Linked DNA regions of Drosophila melanogaster. The protein of the gene in region 1 interacts with the protein of each later gene in a pairwise test. Each region holds a gene or a part of one and is shown in the gene's direction. Other genes may lie near its edges. The genes, in order: sa, tbrd-1 and tbrd-3.

Region 1 (3,581 bases):
AAAAAAATTGTATTTTAATCATAAAGCGCTTCTTGAAATCATAGCTATCATACACTATCAAAGGACGTTTATCGTAGAGTAAAAGCGTATTCTAGACTATATACCACTAAATATCCGTTTCAAAATATGTATTTAATATGTTGTAGACCTGATCAGAATTACTAGGCCGGACAATCAAACCATGTCGGATTGTCCGTCCGCATAAACATGGAGATCTTAGGAACTATACAAGATTGAAAGTTAAGAAAGTAAAGCACGCAGATTCTACTAACATTGACGCACAGGAAGCTTGAACAAGATTTCCACGCCTAGTTTACCGCCCACTAACCGCACAAAACTGTCACGCCCGCAATTTTGAAACATGTTTTTATTTTTAATTTTATTATATGTCGAAAATATTTTTGCCACGCCCACTCCTAGGTCAAAAAACCACTTGAAACTGTCACCAGGCGAAATATTCATATTTATTTCTATTTATTTTTTCATTTTCTTTTTTATTTTTCAGTTCCATTAGCTAAGCAACGAGTATCTAAAGTTTTTGTAACGCAATTTGAAAACTATATATATATTTGAATACTTAACGTTAACGACTTGGAACTTTATTATCTTTTATTGTATTATTTATAAACAACAAGTTGTCAGTTTTCAATTGAGCAGAGATTTTTTTTCTCTGTGGTCCGTAAACGGTAGCGCTTGGAGGCAAAAACATTAGATCCCAGATAAATACGGGCGAGTTCATTGTACAAATGTCAGCCACGGAACGCCCACAATGCACGACCGCCAACATAATCCCCATCATCTACATCATCATGATGGGATCGTAAAAATATAAAGTGGAGAAAAGTGGTGGGGATATGATGGGGGAGGGACTCTGGAAGGAGGTACAATTTGTTCAATTGCAGCAGCCTCTTGGGCGTCGCAAACGCGAATCTGTCTGCATCTAAAGTAGTTTTTCCACTCTGACACAGTGACCTCGTGCTTGGATTTTTCCATTTCCCCCCAGTTTTCCGTTCTCCATTCTCTTTTCGCACCATTTGTTGTTGTTGTTGTTGTTGTTGTTGTTGTTGTTCGGCTTATGACTGATTATAGCTCACGTTTTGGCTAGTCTATGACGGAGTCTGGAGAATTTGTCATCAGACAAACAATGGCTCCCACTTTGGTTTTCTTGGAACCCATTCATTCATTCATACGGCTGTAAATATTTGCATAACTCATTAGGAGAGATGCTTAAGATACGAGTCTCTATACGCCGAGTCGTTTGCAGTAGGTCGCGATCGCAAAAGGCGAAAATATTATAATTTATTTATATATTATTATAAATATATTAGTTTTAGGGGAGTGGTGCGGACAGTTCCCAATCGGTATTTAGCTGCTGGTCTTTAGTGCTCAGCCTTTTGGAAAGATTGTGTAAACAGTTTAGGCTGTTATGCTATAAACTGTTATACGGAAACATATATGCAAATTTTTGGAAATTTGAAAATTAGAAAAGAACATGGATTCCTTGAAATATAATTAAAATATTACATAAACACTTCAGATGTTTAATAAAAATGACTTTGGCAATCCTAAAGCAAATAAATCAAATGTCAATTAGTTATCGTCGATAAACTTAAGGCCCGGCCAGTCCGTGACACTTCGTTTTAACAGTCAGTCGAATCGAGTGATTTGCCCAAAAATGAATACCTACGACGAAGTCTTGGCAACAGTGCTGGACAATTTGCTGGCATCCAAGAACTGTGAGGTGGTCGACGACGTACTGCGTCAGTCGATGCTGGAACTTTTGCGTGGCAGTAAGTAGCTAGAAGAAAATTCGTACCATGTCAATGGTATTGTTAATCAATGTGTTCCTCGAGAATTCCGTGAGATTGCACGTCAGACTACCAATTGGTCCAATCACGCTGGTCGCTGTGCACCCAGCTACTTCGATCTGGAGCGCACCTTCATCCGGATGAACATCAAGGTGGGCGAGCTAAAGGCCATGTACGAGGGTCAACCGGATTCGTTGGTCTTGGTTGAGTGCAATGCACCGGAGACACAAGACCAGGACTTCCACAGTGTGCCGCAACCCGTGCTGAGCTCCACAAAGGCCGTGGAATTGGCCTCCACCACGTATATTCCGGACCATTTGCCACCATTTCCAGGGGCGCACACCTATAAGAGTTCGACCATTGAGAAGGTTACGGATCGCAGCTATGTGGCCATGAGGAATCGCCATGCCGAGAATGAGCTGAACACCCAAAACGCCTTAAATCAATACTACCTGAGGTGCAACCCCAATATATCGCTGTTCGAAGAAACCCAACGCGATGGAAGTGGCCACGTTTTGGATCTAGGTCCACCCAAGAAACTTCCTTATTCGGACGCCCTGATGCCAAGAAATCAGGTCTTTGATACGGACATCTATGCTCCCATCGAGGTGATAACCCACAAAGGTATTTAATTACTATACATACCCAGTAATATTGGTGCATAAAACGCTTTTACACAGCCATTATATGACATTTTACGTAAGACAGGGCAGAGACAGGCCCTAGAGTTTAAGTCTGGAAAACTGATTTTCCTTAAATCCCGCGGACTAAAACGGACGTATTTTGTGAAATAACTTAGAGACTGCACTGAGTAACCAAAGTGGAACATTTAATACTTTTGATCGCTTTTGCCTGACCAAGCTTATTTCATTGCGCAGCCATCACTTTCACATGGTCCTAACAACTTTGATCCCGACAGCCCTCGACTGCCGTTACTTGGAGAAGCCCAAGTTGCACAGTTCACGCCCATCCTCAGGAAATTTCGAAGAGGAAGACGTGGAAATGGAGGAGCCCTGCAGTCCAGGGGGACTAGGTATTGAAAAACCGAATTAAACTGCAGCTCAGTAAGAGGTGAAAAGCACACGAAATGTTTCCATTGCCAGACCAAGCTACTCCACGGAATAAAGTGTGAAAAAATTAATTTATTTCAATTACATTTCATTAAACACTGCCACACGTTGCGATGATGCTGCGAGAGTTCGAAGGAGCAAGAGGTCCTGCGCCTGCTGTAGCAGCAGATGCTCCTCCTGCTGCTTCTGGCGAACGCCTGCGATTCCAAAGTATTAAATAACTTTGTAATTTAATTAACTTTGACGTCGGCATCGCATCGTCTGCTCTGCGACGCTTAACTTTGATTAACGTTTGCAATTTTTCAACAACTTTCGACCGAACTTTCTCGCCATCGAGCGGGCGACACTGCGTCCAAAGCGTCCGTAGCCAAAGGATTGTGACTGTGATTTCTTCGCCTGGCTGGGATTACAAGGGATTTGCCTCCTCCTCTTATCTTCCGCTAAAGGGCACTACCCTTAGTTGCTTGAAATTTTATCTGACGATTGGAAGGGTTAAGATTCAGGGGGGAATATTGAATGCAATTAGAGATGCTGGGTGATGTTTGGATGGGGTGGAACCTCCCTGGATGACAAGCTAATAATCCCGGGGAACGAGCACAATCACTTGGAAAACTAATTACAGGGGAAGAGTCGTGGCAATAATCAATAAGTAGAGCCACTGCCGATTTTTACATTCCGATAGGTATAACCATTCAAGAGTTAT
Region 2 (4,237 bases), on another chromosome or scaffold:
AGTATCAGCAGCAGCAGCAGCAGCAACAGCAGCAGCAATCGCCCTCTTCAACGAACAACAAAATAAATGGACTCGCGCGGAGCAAGCGCCAGGCCAACACAAGTGGGGCCAGCATGGTGCTGACCACCAGTACGGCGGCCACATTGAGTGGCCTCTTCAATCAGCAGCGAGCCAAGCCCATACGCATTGCTCCGGCTCCACCGGTGGCCACAACGGGCACAGGCAACATTGGGACGATAGCAGCAGCTGGAGCTGCAGCAGCTTCAACTGGAACCGGGACAGCGACAACATCGGCCCGTTCCGAGATCCTGAAGCTGGCCAAATGACCAGCGCTGTCGACGTTATCGTCGACAGTGAGCACAGCCAGCTACACCCTCGTTATCGGGCATAAGTAGTGGGCAGCAGGAGGATACATACCGCCAGGCCATATATATAGAGTTATCCATACATATGTGACGATACGAGTATAGAGTTTAGTGTTAGGTGTCAGGCCTCAGCTTTGGAGTTTGTTGTTTTGTATTCTTTGACAGACTCCCCGCTTAGTTGCGTCGCTGGGCGGCGCGCGCCACACTTTCGAAATAGACAATAAAACAGCAAGATGATGTTAATGAAAATCAAGTTACAAAGAGCAGTTCTAACAATTAGCGATAGGTTTTTGGCTTCATAGACAGCGCCTCGGCGCAAATTTGCGTTGTTTTGTATATAGTAAGCACCAAAAGCTACCAAGATGTTTCGTATTAAGTATTTATTTATTGCATATAGATCCTTGGTTTTTATAGGTTTTGTTTTCGTTGCAATTTATAGACCTACCGATTATTTGTATAAATAGGTAACCTAAGCTGATACTTAGCCACTAAGTTTAAAGAACATCCACAACAATTACATTTGCCTTGTCAAGCAAATGATATCAAATCAAAAACAGCTACTGATTTTCATTTATTGTGATTGCACAAATTGTTTTTTAAACTCTAGAAGAACAAATTATTTATGTCAAACACAAAAAGGTAAAAATCATGAGAAAATTAGGAAGGGTGGAAAAAAATTATATTTATAAATTGTTATTATTTATTTAGTTGAAACTATTGTAAAATTATAATTGTAAAACAAAAATGAAATCACACTTAGCGGAAACACACGGAGCAAATAAAAATTTAAAAAACAAGATAACTCTTTGATTCATGGCCCGCTTGACCCAATCTCTAAAGAAATACACCCTTGTATACAAACTGGGAATGTTCGGAGTTCCACACGCGATTCCCACTGAAGTTATTCCCATGACTTGATACTAGCATCCGATCCCGATGTGACGAACCAGCAGAGGACCTCCCGAGTCACCATTGCATGTGTCCTTATGGTCCGGAGATCCAACACACAACTGGGACTCCGCCTTATAGCCTTCCGGCACATCCTCGTTTGCATCCAACCGTAACTTGTAAGTTGGTAAGTTGTACCAAAGACACTAGAATAATAGAATAGAATTATTCTAGTGTCTTTGGTTGTACTTACACATCTGAGTAGAAGCAGTGAGTAGCCGTTAAAACCACCTGATAACTTATCAAGGTGCCACCACAAAACCACTTCGTTTGATTCCCACTAGAGCTGTGATGATCCAGCCGAGCAACCATGGGAAACTTTTTTTTGGCATATCTGCGGTGGCAACAACTACCAAGGTCCCTGAAGTTGCACCTTAGAAAGGAGTATTATCACTCATACTAGACGATTGCTAGCTATCGAATGTAAGCTCACTGTGAATGTCACAAATTTTGACAGACCCAACGTAGCACAAAAAAGTCAGTGACAAAATCCGTCTGGTCATTTTTTATTTTCTACTACTCCCAACGGAGACTTACATACAATAAATGTAAATCACATCACCATAGACTCTAGTGTCAAGAGGTAATTATTAGTGTTTGACGAAAAGAAGTTCAGTAAAGTTCTGTATTCCGAGCCGAAAGGAGCTGTGAATTTTGAGTTGTTCAAAAAGTAAGCATTTGAAATAGTTCACATTCTTCCTAAATACCAAAAAAAAAAAAAACTGCTTTAGGCTAATATTAGGAGTTGGGTGACCTTACAAACCAGCAATGAATGAACTGCAGTCGAATAGCAACCAGCCTCCGCCGCGCAATGAGCCGTATCTGCAGCCGGTGAATGGCATCGTGCAACCGCCGGTGATTCCGCCACCGAATCGTCCTGGGCGAAGGACAAACATCCTAGAAGAGCTCAAGTCCGTGCTGAATTGCTTATGGCGCAATCGCTTCTCGTATCACTTTCGCCATCCCGTCGATTCTGTGAGCCTGGGTGTGCCCGACTACCATGCGGTGGTCAAGCATCCGATGGACTTGAGTACAATTAGGAAGCGACTGCACAACAAATACTACTGGCAGGCGAGCGAGGCTCTGGAGGATTTCAAGCTGATATTCGATAACTGCTTGTTGTACAATTTGGAGGGCTCACCGGTTTATCAGGCAGGGAAGCTTCTAATGGAGGCCTTTTACATGCGAATGGAGTCCATTGATTTGAGCACGGAGGTGGAACTAAAGCCGAAGTCGGAAAAGCGCAAGAGAAAGGCTACTGAATCATTGGATCAAGCCTCGACTTCGTTCTCAGCACCTCGAGCATCTAACAATTATTCTAGACAGTGGCTCTCGAGTAGTTCCTCATGGCTCTGTCCCCCACCGATGCCTGGCGGGGTGTCGTCATTTAATCCTTCATTCCGAAATTTCGTGGGTCCCAGCTTGATCCCATCTTTTATGCCCGATTCCTTGGTGAATCCCATGCAATCTATGCATCCAATGTCATCAATGATGAATCCGATATTCAAGAATAATTGGGAGACAAATGAAGCAATGGATCCACCGCCCTCAGAGCCAATTTCCTATCGTCCCTTGGATTCCTTGGCAGCACCCTTACCGTCCCCTCCAATGGAACCCATGACTTTGCCTTGGCCAACCCCAGCACCAGTTGAATCTCCAGCTTCATCGCCTCCTCCGGCTCCCAATCCACCCATTATCATCTGCTACAAGTCTCTCGACCGAATGATTGAAAAAAGCCACTCAGATCATCTTCTGAAGTCGATGGTAAAGCGAAAGCGCAAGCAGGTTACATGGGCATTTAATCAGGCTGACTACTGGCGAAGGTACTCCCAGAATCCGGACTACGACCACGATCGCGAAGAGAAACTCGATTGGAAGATACTACAGGAGCGCTTGGACTCCGATAACTTTGAGAGCTTTGATGGATTCGTGAGCTCTGTACGAAAGATGTTCCAGAACGCATTGCGTTGCTTTCCGGAAGATGGATTGGTCAAGGTTTCGGTGAAGAAAACCAATGAGATCTTTGAGAAAAGGCTGCCCAAGTACAGGGAGTTAATTGCCACGGCCAAGGAAAAGGGGCGTCAACTGGTGGCCAGCAGGGAACAAGATTTTCGTGACTCACAAAACCTGCTCATTAAACAAGAAAACGCTAATAAGAATTTCAAAGGATGGGTTCCAAAGCCATTTATTATTAAAACGGAGTCCCTGTTTGTGCAAGAACAGCGAGTGTACAAAATGGAGCCCCAGGATGTACAAGAATTTTCACCTGGTACGGAGCCGCTGGATGACCAAACTTATGATAGCGATTAAAGTGTGTAGAATTCTACCACGGAAATGAAAAAAAATGAAAATGCAAATTATTATAATTATTATTCATAAAGAATTGTTATTAGCCTAAAATATGATTCTAATTACGAGCTACCGACATTCTCATAGTTTAATTATACCTGTATTACTAGATGCGTTGAAAAGTATGGAACAGGCAGAAGGAAGCGATTGCGATCATATACATTTGTCTATACATTTTTGATCAGGATCAATAGCCGAGTCGATCTGGCCATGTCCGTCTGTATTGATCTCATTTTGCCACGCCCACACTTTTGAAAAATGCTTAGATTTTTCTTCGTGCAAAAAAAAACACTAGCCACGCGCCTCCTTTTGCTACAATACGCCCAAAACGGTCACGACTATTTTATTCCCCAGTATCTATCGATATCCCAGAAAAATGATGAAATGTTCCCTTTGGCATTCCCACTAGCTGAGTAACGGGTATCTGATAGTCGGGGAACTCGACTATACCATTTTCTATTGTTTTTAAATTCAAAATAAAACAGTCAAGCACCAAGGTGCCACCTCTCGGTTGACATTGCAACTACGCAGAGCTAAGGTGACCAGTCGTCTTGCAATCTGGCAGCCCTATAACA
Region 3 (3,400 bases), on another chromosome or scaffold:
TATTTAAACTAGAGTTCAAGTTCAATGGTTTCTTCAATAGCTGATCAAGTGATTCCCAACTTTGTTTTGTTAATTTGTAGCCAATACTCAGAAAACGGTAAATGAATGGACTCTTATTGCTGCATTAGCTAAATTGAATTCGGGCGGTGCATAAGTAAATGCTATTAAGATACAATCGCGTACATACCTATAGGTATATATTTACACACATATATATCATATGCATGGCAGTATAAATCAACTGCGGCACAGCCATTCCACCGAAATGCGAAATCCGACTGCTGACAAGTGTCACCGGGAGATGCTATGACAAAGTGTCAAAAGAATGTTTGACATCTGACTGGCTGTCGCCGTCTCTTTCGCTCGAATAGCCCCCTCTCCATCGCTGTGCCGTGCGAGGGCAGCGTGTGTAGCCTGTCCAAATGTACATTTCTCATATCTCCTCGGCGTCCTCGTCTGCTGGTTCTTCCCTTCTTTCCATTTCTGCAGGGCTTTCATATTGCCGCCCTTTTTTTTATATTTATCCATATATTGCCCGGTTCCAATGGGATGCGGGATGGCCAGGTAGGGATTCGTTCGCAGGTGCGAGGCAAGTGGGTTTGGGGGAAAGGGATGTGCTTGCCACTGACAGCCTCACACGTTTCCTTTGCGTCCCCCTGGCGATCCTTTTAGCACCTGGCCCAGTCTCTGGGTGTATAATTTCATCTGCCAACTGATTGAGTGTCGCAGTTTTACTTATGTGAAAAACGAACAAGATTTTTATCTGGAAATCGGCAATAGAGAGCGGAATGTTTGCCGTGAAATGCGAAGTAAAGTTCTGCCCCGCTGACATATCGACAAGATCAAAGGGAATCGTGTGCTAAGGGCTCTCAGCTACACATATGCATAAAAATATCACTCATATCAATTTATTCTAGGTCTAGATGCCTCCAAAGCGAATGATCTTGCGAAAAAGTGGATATATGACAGATATAGGGTATAACTTTATCTATATTGTTATTTGGTATTTTTGATTATATATATTTTAAATATACTTTGAAGATTAATCTCTTTTTCTTTCGGTTTCGCAAACTCTATGTGTAAAGTCTCCAAACTTGGGGTTGAAGGTCAACATCCGAACCAGATGATGCCCAGAGGTGAATCCCCATTCGCAAGTGGGTCAGTGGAGTGCAATCCCAATTGACCCATTCGCAGGACCATTCCCCCAAAGGCCCAACAGCAGACTGAAGAGGCGCCCCAAGATGTGGCCAAGACCTGGTCCGATTGCCACCCAATTTGCAACATTTTGTGGCAGGTAAGTTAACAGCGAGAAAATGAAGGTCTCCGTAAATCGGTTGCTCTCAGTTGTGGATCGCAAGCTAACAGAGGGAGAGAGCCACAGGAACAGGATTTCCCCTCATGCCTGTGGAAGCCAACTTAACAGAGTGACTTTAAACAGGATTTCGATTTAACTTTTGTAAACCCAACTTGTTGACTGCCCAAATGAAAGCCCTGCAAATATTTGCCCAAAAATGATGTATATTGTGTGTCCTAACAAAACTTTTATGCTAACGAAATATTTCGGCACTCTAAAATAGCAAACGTCAGCGGTTGACCATAAATATTTTCGCCCCCACAGCTCGATGGGGATTTTAAATACGTTTACCGAAAAAAGGACTGTTTGTACGGGTCTCGGAATTAGATTAACCATCATAGCTTCAGGATTGAGGCAGAGCATTCCCACAAAGGACCGCACTCCCACACAAAATGTATGGAAATACTTTCCTGGCCGGAGCCACTTGCATAATTAACTGAATTTGTTTGTTGCCCCAAACCGCATTTGTGGATTGACTTTTCTGCTCGGATTGAGGTGGCAATCCTAAAAGTTTTCATAAGCTAAAAATATCATCGTACAGGGCAACCCGGAGTGTGAATATTGTCAGTTGTATTGCGTTCAAGTTGTCAAAACGATAGAAATTATAATAGAATTTTCCGATAGTCGATATCGAAGATATTTTTCTGAAATGGCTGCAAAACAAGAAACTGAACGGTCCTCGCCGGAAATTAATGCCTGCAAGGTGATTATTAAAAGGTTGTTTTCCAGTACCTATAAGAATATTGCTTGGGTTTTCTACGAGCCACTGGATCCGCAACTGCTGGGCCTCCACGATTACCATGAGATTGTCCGGGAACCCATGGATCTGTCCACCGTGAGGCATCGTTTGAATACGGGTTGCTATCTCAGTGCCGCGGATTTCGCCAAAGACATAAGGCTGATTTTCTACAACACCTATCTGTACACGAATCCCGATCACCTGTGCTACCACATGGCCAAACAGCTGCAGATCATCTTTGAGGAGATGTACTCCCAGGTGCAGCTCTACATCTGCTCCAGCGGCAGTAAAGTGCGTGCCGAGGAAGAGAGCTCCTCGGATGAATCGGACTCATCATCGCCGGAGGACGAGGTGAACGGCTCGGAGGTGTCCCCCTCCATAATGGGTGCGCCCCCCTCATGTACTCCAACCACCGAATGTACTCCGACCCCCGATTGGACTCCGCCGGCAACTTTGGAAACTTCGGAGCAGCAGGAGCCCTTTACAACCGAGGAGGACCTTGATCTGCACGCCAAGATTCAGCAGCTGGACGGCGAGGTGCTGCTCCACGTCATCCATTTCATTCAACGCATGGAGGGCGCCGAGTACTGCAACAAGGAGCTGGAGTTCGACATCTGCAAACTGAAGGTGCACACCAAACGCGGCATCCGTGATTATTTGGCCAGCAAGGGGTTCACCGGCAAAAGAGTGGCCCGCACCAAGCCCAAATATAATTGAGTTTCAGATTGAAAAAGAGTTTTAATTTATTGTAATCTAGTCCTTTTTGCCCAAAAGCTTCTCCTGCTCCTTTCTCTTGTCGCGCATGGAGCGGTAGTTCCGGAAATCCCCATTCCACGTCTTGTTACGCATGATCTCCAGCGGATTGGAAGCTATGTAAGCGAAAAAGGTCTTCCGAGGAGGTCCTCCGGGCACCAGATAGTTGCCCATGGCGTACCAGGCGGAGCTCACGATGCTTAGGTAGCGGGCATTCAACTGATCGTGATATGTTTGCTTAGCCAGGGCAGCCTGAAAAATATAGTTTTAGTATAGTAAAATATATGTACATATATATATATATATATACCGTATTCTTAATCTGCTTATAGAAGTTAAAGTTCTCCTTGGATCTGGGCAGGCGATCAATGCCCATAAGATCGGGACTGGCGGGACTGCTCTGGAGGATGGTGACCAGCTCGAATATCCTGCTCGACTCGGCTATACTCTCCTCGAGCTCCTTCTGGCTGTAGGTTTTGCCGTACCTCCTCTTGACCCACTCCCGCAGCACTGGCAGCTTGTGGGCGTCTGGCAGACAGGCCAGCACATAGCGG

Evidence for each region.
Region 2: the proteins of sa (region 1) and tbrd-1 interact in a two-hybrid assay, tested with the Drosophila melanogaster proteins (one study listed by BioGRID).
Region 3: the proteins of sa (region 1) and tbrd-3 interact in a two-hybrid assay, tested with the Drosophila melanogaster proteins (one study listed by BioGRID).

The regions. Positions count from the first base shown.
Region 1 is NT_037436.4:21,404,791-21,408,371, reverse strand, and holds sa (spermatocyte arrest), read left to right. Parts: upstream 1-1,633; 5' UTR 1,634-1,675; coding exon 1,676-1,790; intron 1,791-1,853; coding exon 1,854-2,432; intron 2,433-2,727; coding exon 2,728-2,861; 3' UTR 2,862-2,947; downstream 2,948-3,581.
Region 2 is NT_033777.3:23,891,097-23,895,333, reverse strand, and holds tbrd-1 (testis-specifically expressed bromodomain containing protein-1), read left to right. Parts: upstream 1-1,773; 5' UTR 1,774-1,983; intron 1,984-2,044; 5' UTR 2,045-2,081; coding exon 2,082-3,623; 3' UTR 3,624-3,737; downstream 3,738-4,237. Other genes in the region: sba (six-banded), read left to right, coding at 1-326.
Region 3 is NT_033778.4:23,326,160-23,329,559, reverse strand, and holds tbrd-3 (testis-specifically expressed bromodomain containing protein-3), read left to right. Parts: upstream 1-1,978; 5' UTR 1,979-2,003; coding exon 2,004-2,810; 3' UTR 2,811-2,821; downstream 2,822-3,400. Other genes in the region: CG9861 (uncharacterized protein), read right to left, coding at 2,847-3,098, 3,157-3,400.